Linked DNA regions of Tribolium castaneum. The protein of the gene in region 3 binds, or shares a complex with, the protein of the main gene of each other region. Links are inferred from orthologs where the notes say so. Each region holds a gene or a part of one and is shown on either strand. Other genes may lie near its edges. The genes, in order: peptidyl-prolyl cis-trans isomerase H, U6 snRNA-associated Sm-like protein LSm6 and Prp6.

The links.
Region 1: Prp6 (region 3) and peptidyl-prolyl cis-trans isomerase H share a complex: the UniProt entries of both Homo sapiens proteins name them as parts of the U4/U6-U5 tri-snRNP complex. The link is inferred for Tribolium castaneum from reciprocal best matches to the Homo sapiens genes PRPF6 and PPIH.
Region 2: Prp6 (region 3) and U6 snRNA-associated Sm-like protein LSm6 share a complex: the UniProt entries of both Homo sapiens proteins name them as parts of the U4/U6-U5 tri-snRNP complex. The link is inferred for Tribolium castaneum from reciprocal best matches to the Homo sapiens genes PRPF6 and LSM6.

Annotation. Positions count from the first base shown.
Region 1 is NC_087395.1:17,966,512-17,969,170, reverse strand, and holds peptidyl-prolyl cis-trans isomerase H, read left to right. Parts: upstream 1-1,313; 5' UTR 1,314-1,392; coding exon 1,393-1,476; intron 1,477-1,522; coding exon 1,523-1,699; intron 1,700-1,744; coding exon 1,745-2,038; 3' UTR 2,039-2,083; downstream 2,084-2,659. Other genes in the region: peptidoglycan-recognition protein 2, read left to right, coding at 528-585, 635-854, 900-1,018, 1,069-1,259; G-patch domain and KOW motifs-containing protein, read left to right, coding at 2,154-2,287, 2,339-2,529, 2,580-2,659. UniProt on the Homo sapiens protein: PPIase that catalyzes the cis-trans isomerization of proline imidic peptide bonds in oligopeptides and may therefore assist protein folding. Participates in pre-mRNA splicing.
Region 2 is NC_087398.1:10,391,182-10,393,526, forward strand, and holds U6 snRNA-associated Sm-like protein LSm6, read left to right. Parts: upstream 1-1,357; 5' UTR 1,358-1,405; coding exon 1,406-1,496; intron 1,497-1,549; coding exon 1,550-1,698; 3' UTR 1,699-1,722; downstream 1,723-2,345. Other genes in the region: inosine triphosphate pyrophosphatase, read right to left, coding at 722-1,294; uncharacterized protein LOC100142353, read right to left, coding at 1,723-2,282, 2,324-2,345. UniProt on the Homo sapiens protein: Plays a role in pre-mRNA splicing as component of the U4/U6-U5 tri-snRNP complex that is involved in spliceosome assembly, and as component of the precatalytic spliceosome (spliceosome B complex).
Region 3 is NC_087399.1:6,879,829-6,883,300, forward strand, and holds part of Prp6 (pre-mRNA-processing factor 6), read left to right. Parts: intron 1-903; coding exon 904-1,591; intron 1,592-3,472. UniProt on the Homo sapiens protein: Involved in pre-mRNA splicing as component of the U4/U6-U5 tri-snRNP complex, one of the building blocks of the spliceosome.

The DNA.
Region 1 (2,659 bases), on a different chromosome or scaffold from region 3:
AGAATCACAAATGTCAAGATATGAAATTCCAGACGGTCAGTGTAGGCAACCTTGAAAGAAGTAAACAACGGACGGGCAGCGCCTCTCAACAAGTTTTGCAAAATTTTAAAAACCAAAATTTTTTTCCCGCACAAACCTTGCGAATTAACTGACTGAGTTGCCCCCCGTATCTAAGTGACTTGATAACTGCGTAACGAAAATTACGTTAAGTTATGATTTAATAAAACATGATAAGAACTGATAGTGATAAGGACGTCTAAGAAGACTGCAAAATCCAGCACAAAAATAAAATTAAATTCGTTGCTCTTGTTTTTATTTAACTTTAGTCACCGTTGGTGAAGTCCCTGATCGGGAATCCCCACAACCCAGAGATAAAAACCATAACAAGAAGATAAAGTCATAGACCCCACAGGTCACCGTATATAAATGCAGAAGTTTATCATCTCGAAGGTTACTCGTGTTGTTCCATTAAAGGACGTGCTAATTAAATAAATAATTTTAATTTTGCATACAAGGCAAAGTTGAATATGGGACGAAAGTTCGTGATTATTTTCTCAATTTTGCACCAAATTCTGGCTCGAACAGGTAAAACCACCGCTCAAACCCCATCCATTGCTAAATGAGGTGTTTCCAGAGTCAAACTTGCCGGCAGTGTGCCCCGAAATCGTGAGTCGCACTAGATGGGGGGCTCGCACTGCTTTGGAAGTGGATTACGCCCTAATCCCTGTCGAAAACGTGGTCGTGCACCACACGGTGACCAACACTTGCAGCACTGAGGAAGAATGTGCGGCGATTTTGCGAAACATTCAGAATTTTCACATGGAAAATCTAGATTTTCACGATATTGGATACAAGTAAATTTGATGATTTTTGTTTTTTTTTTTTTAATTATGGTTTAGTTTTTTAGTGGGTGGTGACGGCCAGATTTACGAGGGCGCAGGTTGGCACAAAGTGGGGGCGCACACACGTGGGTACAACTCCCGGTCTTTGGGGCTCGGTTTCATCGGCAATTACACGAGTAGGTTGTTTTTCGTGTTATTTTCGTACTTTACGAGCCTTTTATTACAGCTCAACTTCCAAATAAAAAGCAGATACAAGCCGCTAAAGATTTTCTCCAATGCGGGGTTGAGTTGGGAGAGTTGGGCAAAAGTTTCAAACTGTTTGGGGCCCGCCAAGTCAGCGCGACGGAAAGTCCGGGCCTAAAGCTGTACCGCGAACTACAGAACTGGCCGCACTTTACCAGGTCCCCGCCGAAATAAACTGTATTCTAGTTTTTAAAATAAAATTATTATAAAGCATACGATTTTGAATTTAAATATGGCGCCCATTAGTCGCAAGTTTGAGGTTATGTTGTTTTGATTATTCGAGGTTAGGGAACTAAAAACCGTAAAAATGCCGAATTGGGACCAAATTCAAGCCCAGTTGAAGCACCCAGCGAACCCGGTCGTGTTTTTCGACATTTCCGTCGGAACTACGGTACCAATAACCCAAAATTTCCGAAAACTGTATTTTTCGATTACAGGAAATCGGCCGAATGATTTTCGAGTTATTCGCAGACGCGGTCCCCAAAACCAGCGATAATTTCCGCCAGTTTTGCACCGGCGAGTTCCGCAAAGACGGCGTGCCGTTGGGCTACAAGGGGGCTAGTTTCCACCGAGTTATCAAGGACTTTATGATCCAAGGGGGCGACTTCGTCAATGTAAAAATCACGGGATGCGATTCCGCAACTAATTAATATTTTTAGGGCGATGGGACCGGCGTTATGAGTATATATGGGGGCGGAACGTTTCCCGACGAAAATTTTAACCTAAGACATGACGGTCCTGGACTTCTATCAATGGCAAACAGCGGCAAAGACACCAACGGTTGCCAGTTTTTCATAACTTGTGCAAAGTGTAATTTCCTGGACGGCAAACATGTGGTGTTTGGACGCGTTATTGACGGACTTCTCGTCATGCGGAAAATCGAAAACGTGCCCACGGGGCCCAACAATAAGCCCAAAATCCCGGTCACAATTGTACAATGTGGCCAAATGTAGTAGTGTAATTCAAATTTTAATAATAAAAGCACAAAATAAAACTTAGTTTAAATTTTTATTTTGTCAGGTTGGTGGTCCCATAACCTCACTTGTCAAAAACGTAAATAATCGTGAAATGGAAAATAAAAAAATATCGTTCGGTTTCAGCAAAATTAGTAAAAAGACCGAAATCAGGTCAAGTGTTCCGAAACCCGAAAATAAGATACAGCTAATTGACTGTTTAGAGGGTCAATCAATTAAAATAAAAGGGTATGTTTCGTTTTTGAGGTTATGTTATTTTTGCCAAAAACCTCATTTTAGTGCCGTTGAGGAGACAAATGAGCCGTTGGTGATACCAATCCAAGGCCCATCAAACAAATTAATAGACCAAATAAAAAAAGCGAGGGAAAAACACGTCAAACCTGAAGTTAAAGAAGAGACAGGGGAGGCAAATTCTGTGCCAGACTCTGCCCTATCTCTTGACGAATTAGCGGCAAGAGAGTTAATCCGAGGTACTTACCCTATGTTTCAAGTGATTTTCTAGTGTGAATAAAATTTTCAGAGGCACAGACTCGCAACACTGTACAAAGCGAGACAAAAGTCTACTCCTTGCCTTTAAATGACGACAAGTTTGTGGCAGAG
Region 2 (2,345 bases), on a different chromosome or scaffold from region 3:
CAGTAAAAATAATAATTGCACACTAAAAATAATAAATGCACAGTAAAAATAATAATTGCACACTAAAAATAATAAATGCACAGTAAAATAATAAATGCACAGTAAAAATAATAAATGCACAGTAAAAATAATAACTGCACAGTAAAAATAATAAATGCACACTAAAAATAATAAATGGACTGTAAAAATAATAATTGCACAGTAAAAATAATAAATGCACAGTAAATAATAGCATCTCAAAACTAGAGTGTGTAGAATTTCACATTTCCAATTTTACGTTTTTGAGTTTAATCGTTCGAGGAGTATTTTTCCTTTTAGTTTGCTGGGGCGAAGCCCTAGACTGCAAGCTAGCTACTGAGCGTTTATTATTTAAACTGTGCAAACTGAAACTAGATCCTGTGCATATACGATTTTTTTATTGGGCAAATTTTAAAAAAATACTGTGCGTGGTTTACTTGTCATTTAAATTTTTTACTGTGCAAAAATGAATTAAATACTGATGATTTATTATTTTTTACTGATTAAAATCGAATTTTTTACTGATCGCTTTATTACTATCCTTTCAATAATGGCATTTGAGTACTAAAAAGTACTACCCCCCGGACTGTTTTGTTATAAACCTGCCGGAGAAATAAGAAAAGCGTAACAAAAAAGCACTCAAATCAAACAAAACAATTTATTTAAGTTGATTAAAGTCAAATAAAACTAAAACGACAAAACATTATTGTTTCTCTTGGTTCATAAAATGATTCCTCAGCGCGTCCAAGGCGCGGTACCGATGAGAGATTTTATTCTTCTCCTCTTTGGGCATCTCGGCGTACGTCTGCGTGTACCCCACTGGCTGGAAACACGGATCCCATCCAAAATCCCTCGGCCCCCTCGGCATCACAATCTCTCCATCCGTGCGCCCCTCGAACAGAATCACTTTGCCCCCTTCATCGCCCGGATGATATGCAAAAGTACAAACGGCCTGGGCACTCTTATCCTCATGCCCAGCCAGTAGTCGAAACAGCCCCTCAGGACCCAACTTATCCAAGAACCACTTAATATAAGGACCGGGCAAACCACCCAATGCGTTGAAACACAGACACGTGTCTTCGACGATACACGGCCCCTTGATGATTTCGTACGCCGCTTGGCATTTTTTCACGCAAATATCGGCGATTTCGCCCTGGAGCTCAGGGAGGTCCACTTTTTGACTCACCACTTTGCGTGGGAATGTCGAGCCGAGGATGGCAACCACCTCTTCGAGCTTTTTGGCGTTGCCGGTGACGAATGTTAGCGGTTTCGACATGGTTTTGCGTGAAAAAAACAGGAAGTGGGGTTATGTACATGCCGATTTGAGGTTAGGTTTTTGTCAGCCGAGGCGGTTAAATAAGCAAATTTGAGCCACAAGCTGATAAGGATGAGTCGCAAAGAAGCCCTTTCGTCTTTTATTCAACAAATTCACGCCAGGCCTGTTGTGGTCAAGTTGAATAGTGGTGTAGATTACAGAGGTGAGGTTATGTTTGTTTTTTGTCAATGAAGGGGGCTATTATTTGGTTTTTAGGTGTTTTGGCTTGTCTCGATGGCTACATGAACATAGCGTTGGAGCAAACCGAGGAATACGTCAACGGACAACTCAAAAATAAATTCGGGGATGCGTTTATTAGGGGCAACAATGTGCTCTACATAAGTACACAAAAACGTAGAATCTAATGTATTTTTTGTAATAAAAACGTTTCAAAACTCAAAGTCGTTCATTAAAGCGCACTGATCGATTCTCGTAGAGCTGTTGTATAGCTCAAATAACTCGTTATTTGTCTCACACTCTTGTTTCTTTTTCTTACTTTTAACGAGACTACAGTTCTGATATTTAAATTCATTCAATGTGTTGTCCGGAGGAGTTGGATAAAATTCACAGATGAAGTCCAATTTAATTTTACAATTGAGTGCCCTCCACGTTTTTTCAACATCTAACATGACACAGTCTTCTTTTCTTCGTCCTGGTCTTGGGTGGCCCACAGCCCAGGCCCGAAACCGCGAACATTGCAAAAAGTCCCCCATTGGAGTCTCAAAACTCCCCTCAACCGTAATGTCGTCAAGGCCAACGTATGCCCCCTTGTACCAGTTAGGCAAAGACTTGAGTAACGCAGCTAGTGCGTTCGTCCTTGCCTCAGTCAAAATATCAGCCAGGTCGCCCCCCAAATCCTGGCACCGACGTGCGGCGCTGGAATAATTCATTTTTTCCTGAACCACTTGAAACAAACCGACTGATCTGAGACAAGTTGCGTTCGCTGTGGCTAAAATTCAATTCACATTAAGCCATCCTTCCAACACTCACCCCCACAGTTAAAGTCGCCATA
Region 3 (3,472 bases):
CAAACTTTTCCTGCACTAATTTTTCTCGAAAAGGCCGAAATTTCCGCAAAGCATTTTCATGACAAGTTCTATTTTGAGATTAAAATTGGTCGTAAATGATCTATTGCTTCTTAGAATATTTTTTTTTTGGAGTTTTTTTAATACTTATCAACAGATTTTGTGAATTTTTACAAAATGTAGCAGAATGAAAAAGGTATCTAACGGTCTGACATTTGAATTAATAATTAAATTTCTCTATACATTTTTTTCTTGGCATTTCTCACATACACTGTACACTGTAAAAACTTGAAGAGACACGTCAACAATTCTATGTTTTTTATGGCATACCGGAAACTATCGACTGGACTCTTGTAGAAATTTTTACTTTTTTTATTAGCCAGTATCAATGAATTGTACGAATTCATAAAGATTTTTGCTCCCAAAGCAAATATTTTCCAATGGGCCTCGGGCATAGCAAATTTTGCTCCTGCTAGACGCTTGTAGAACTACTCTTTGATTAATTTTTTTTGATAGGACTGAAATTAACAGTGAATTATGATATTCATCCCAAAATAAAAAAAAATCTGTTCTGATACGACAGTTTTAAAATTAAACCTAAAACCATCCTTGGATTATATAAAATAATTTTATGTTAAGCTGGATTCATTTTTTTCTAAGTGGATTGCTGATAACTTAACAAAAAGATGAAAAAAATTTTGTGAACTTCCACACAGTTGTAGCTATTAAAGATGTTAAAAATTATAAAAGGAACATGTTTCGTTGGTAACTATCATTTTCAGACGTGTTTACATTGAAAAAGAGATGAATAAAAAAGAAATTAAAAAAGTAAAAATTAACTAAGTTACATAAAATATTTTTTAAAGTTTTTTTCTATCACTTTGGTTAAAAGAATTTTCTTGTTAGGCCAAAAATCCAGCAACAGTTCTCCGACTTGAAACGCGACCTGCAGAACGTCTCCGACGACGAATGGCGGAGCGTCCCAGACGTGGGGGACGCCCGTAACCGGAAACAGCGCAATCCCCGAGCCGAAAAATTCATCCCTTTGCCCGACAGCGTCCTAGCCCGGAACCTGGGGGGCGAATCCAACACCACCATTGACCCCAGTTCGGGGCTAGCAAGCATGGTTCCGGGTGTTGCCACCCCCGGAATGCTCACCCCGACCGGAGACATGGACTTGCGAAAAATCGGACAAGCCCGCAACACTCTCATGAATGTTAAGTTGTCGCAAGTGTCCGATTCGGTGACTGGACAAACAGTTGTGGACCCGAAAGGGTATTTGACCGATTTGCAATCAATGATTCCCACCTACGGTGGGGATATTAATGATATTAAGAAGGCGAGATTGTTGCTTAAATCGGTGAGGGAGACGAATCCGAATCATCCTCCGGCGTGGATTGCTAGTGCCAGGCTGGAGGAAGTTACGGGGAAGGTGCAAGCGGCGAGGAATTTGATTATGAAAGGGTGTGAGGTTAATCCACAAAGTGAGGATTTGTGGCTGGAGGCGGCCAGGATTAATCCCCAGGATACGGCCAAGGCGGTGATTGCGCAGGCGGCCAGGCATATTCCAACGTCGGTACGGATCTGGATCAAGGTATGAGAAATACAAGTCTTTTGTTATTGATTTTTTATTATGTTTTTTTCTTCCCATTATTTTGTTTATTATGCTTAAAAATAAAAATACTCTGTCAATTGTTTAATTAAAATTAAATTTAAAATTTTTGTAGTGTTTACATTTTTTTTATTCATCACGAGAATATCATTTTAAAAGTACGTAACCAATAATAATAATATTATGGGACCTATTACTAGAAATAAAAGTTTTTTTTTACCTGTCTTTTTTCATCGTCACTATTTTGTTTATTAAGGTTTGGTCATCTTATTTTATAGAGAGTGAAATTGCTGTGGATTTTTTTTTGAATTTGAATGAAATTAACTTAAAAATAAAATTAATAGTCAGTCAAGAGAATTTTTAAACAAAAATTTAAGATTTTTAAAAGTACGTAACCAATAATAATAATATTATGGGATCTATTACTAGAAATAAAAGTCTTTTTTTACCTGTCTTTTTTTATCATCATTATTTTGTTTATTATGGTTTGGTTATCTTATTTTATACAGAGTGAAATTGCTGTGGATTTTTTTTTAAATTTGAATGAAATTAACTTAAAAATAAAATTAATAGTCAGTCAAGAGAATTTTTAAACAAAAATTTAAGATTTTTAAAAGTACGTAACCAATAATAATAATATTATGGGATCTATTACTAGAAATAAAAGTCTTTTTTTACCTGTCTTTTTTTATCGTCATTATTTTGTTTATTATGGTTTGGTCATCTTATTTTATACAGAGTGAAATTGCTGTGGATTTTTTTTTTTAATTTGAGTGAAATTAACTTAAAAATAAAATTAATAGTCAGTCAAGAGAATTTTTATACAAAAATTTAAGATTTTTGTAGTGTTTACATTTTTTTATTCACCACGAGAATAGCATTTTAAAAGTACGTAACCAATAATAATAATATTAGGGACCTATTACTAGAAATAAAAGTCTTTTTTACCTGTCTTTTTTTATCGTCATTATTTTGTTTATTATGGTTTGGTCATCTTATTTTATACAGAGTGAAATTGCTGTGGTTTTTTTTTTTAATTTGAATGAAATTAACAAAAAAATAAAATTAATAGTCAGTCATGAGAATTTTTAAACAAAAATTTAAGATTTTTGTAGTGTTCATATTTTTTTTAAATTAGTGAATTTATTAGTAGTTATTAATATAGCATTTTTAAAGTACTTACCCATTAACTATTGCGTCTATTTTATCGAAAATTCAATCATTGCACATATTTTATTAAGTGCGGTTTTGTAAGACATTTGTTTCATTAGATTTCTTCAAGATTTAGTAGGAGTTTCAACTTTATACTCAGACATGTGCAGTTTTATTTATGACAAGCTTTGAGGAAAGTTTTTATTTGTTTTATGATTCTTGACTATAAGCAAGTTTTAAGCTTTTTTTGCATCTATAATGGCTCTAATATTTTTTGGACCATAAAAATCTAAGTTGTCAAAATCAAACACGCTTAAAAGCGAAAATTAAAATACACTTAAGTCGAAAAATCACTTAATTACGTCGACAGTTAACTTATTTTGTGAAATTTAGTTCATAAATGTTGTTATTTTTATGTATTTTGTATTTGTTTTAAGAGTGAAAATTAAGTAGGATAATACTTAATAATTAATTTATTATTTGGTTTTATGATTTTTCCCCTCATTATTTTGTTTATTATTTTTTTGTTAAATGTAAATGAGACTGAAGACAATTTTTTAAACAAAAATTGACCGTTTCTGTAGTTTTTTATTTTTTTAAATTCACCACAAAAATTCTTGTTTGAATATTTTGATGTGAAAAATATTTTAAAATCGAAAAATTAATAAAAATAAACTTTTTTGTATTTTATTTTTTTGTTTCTGAGTTAAG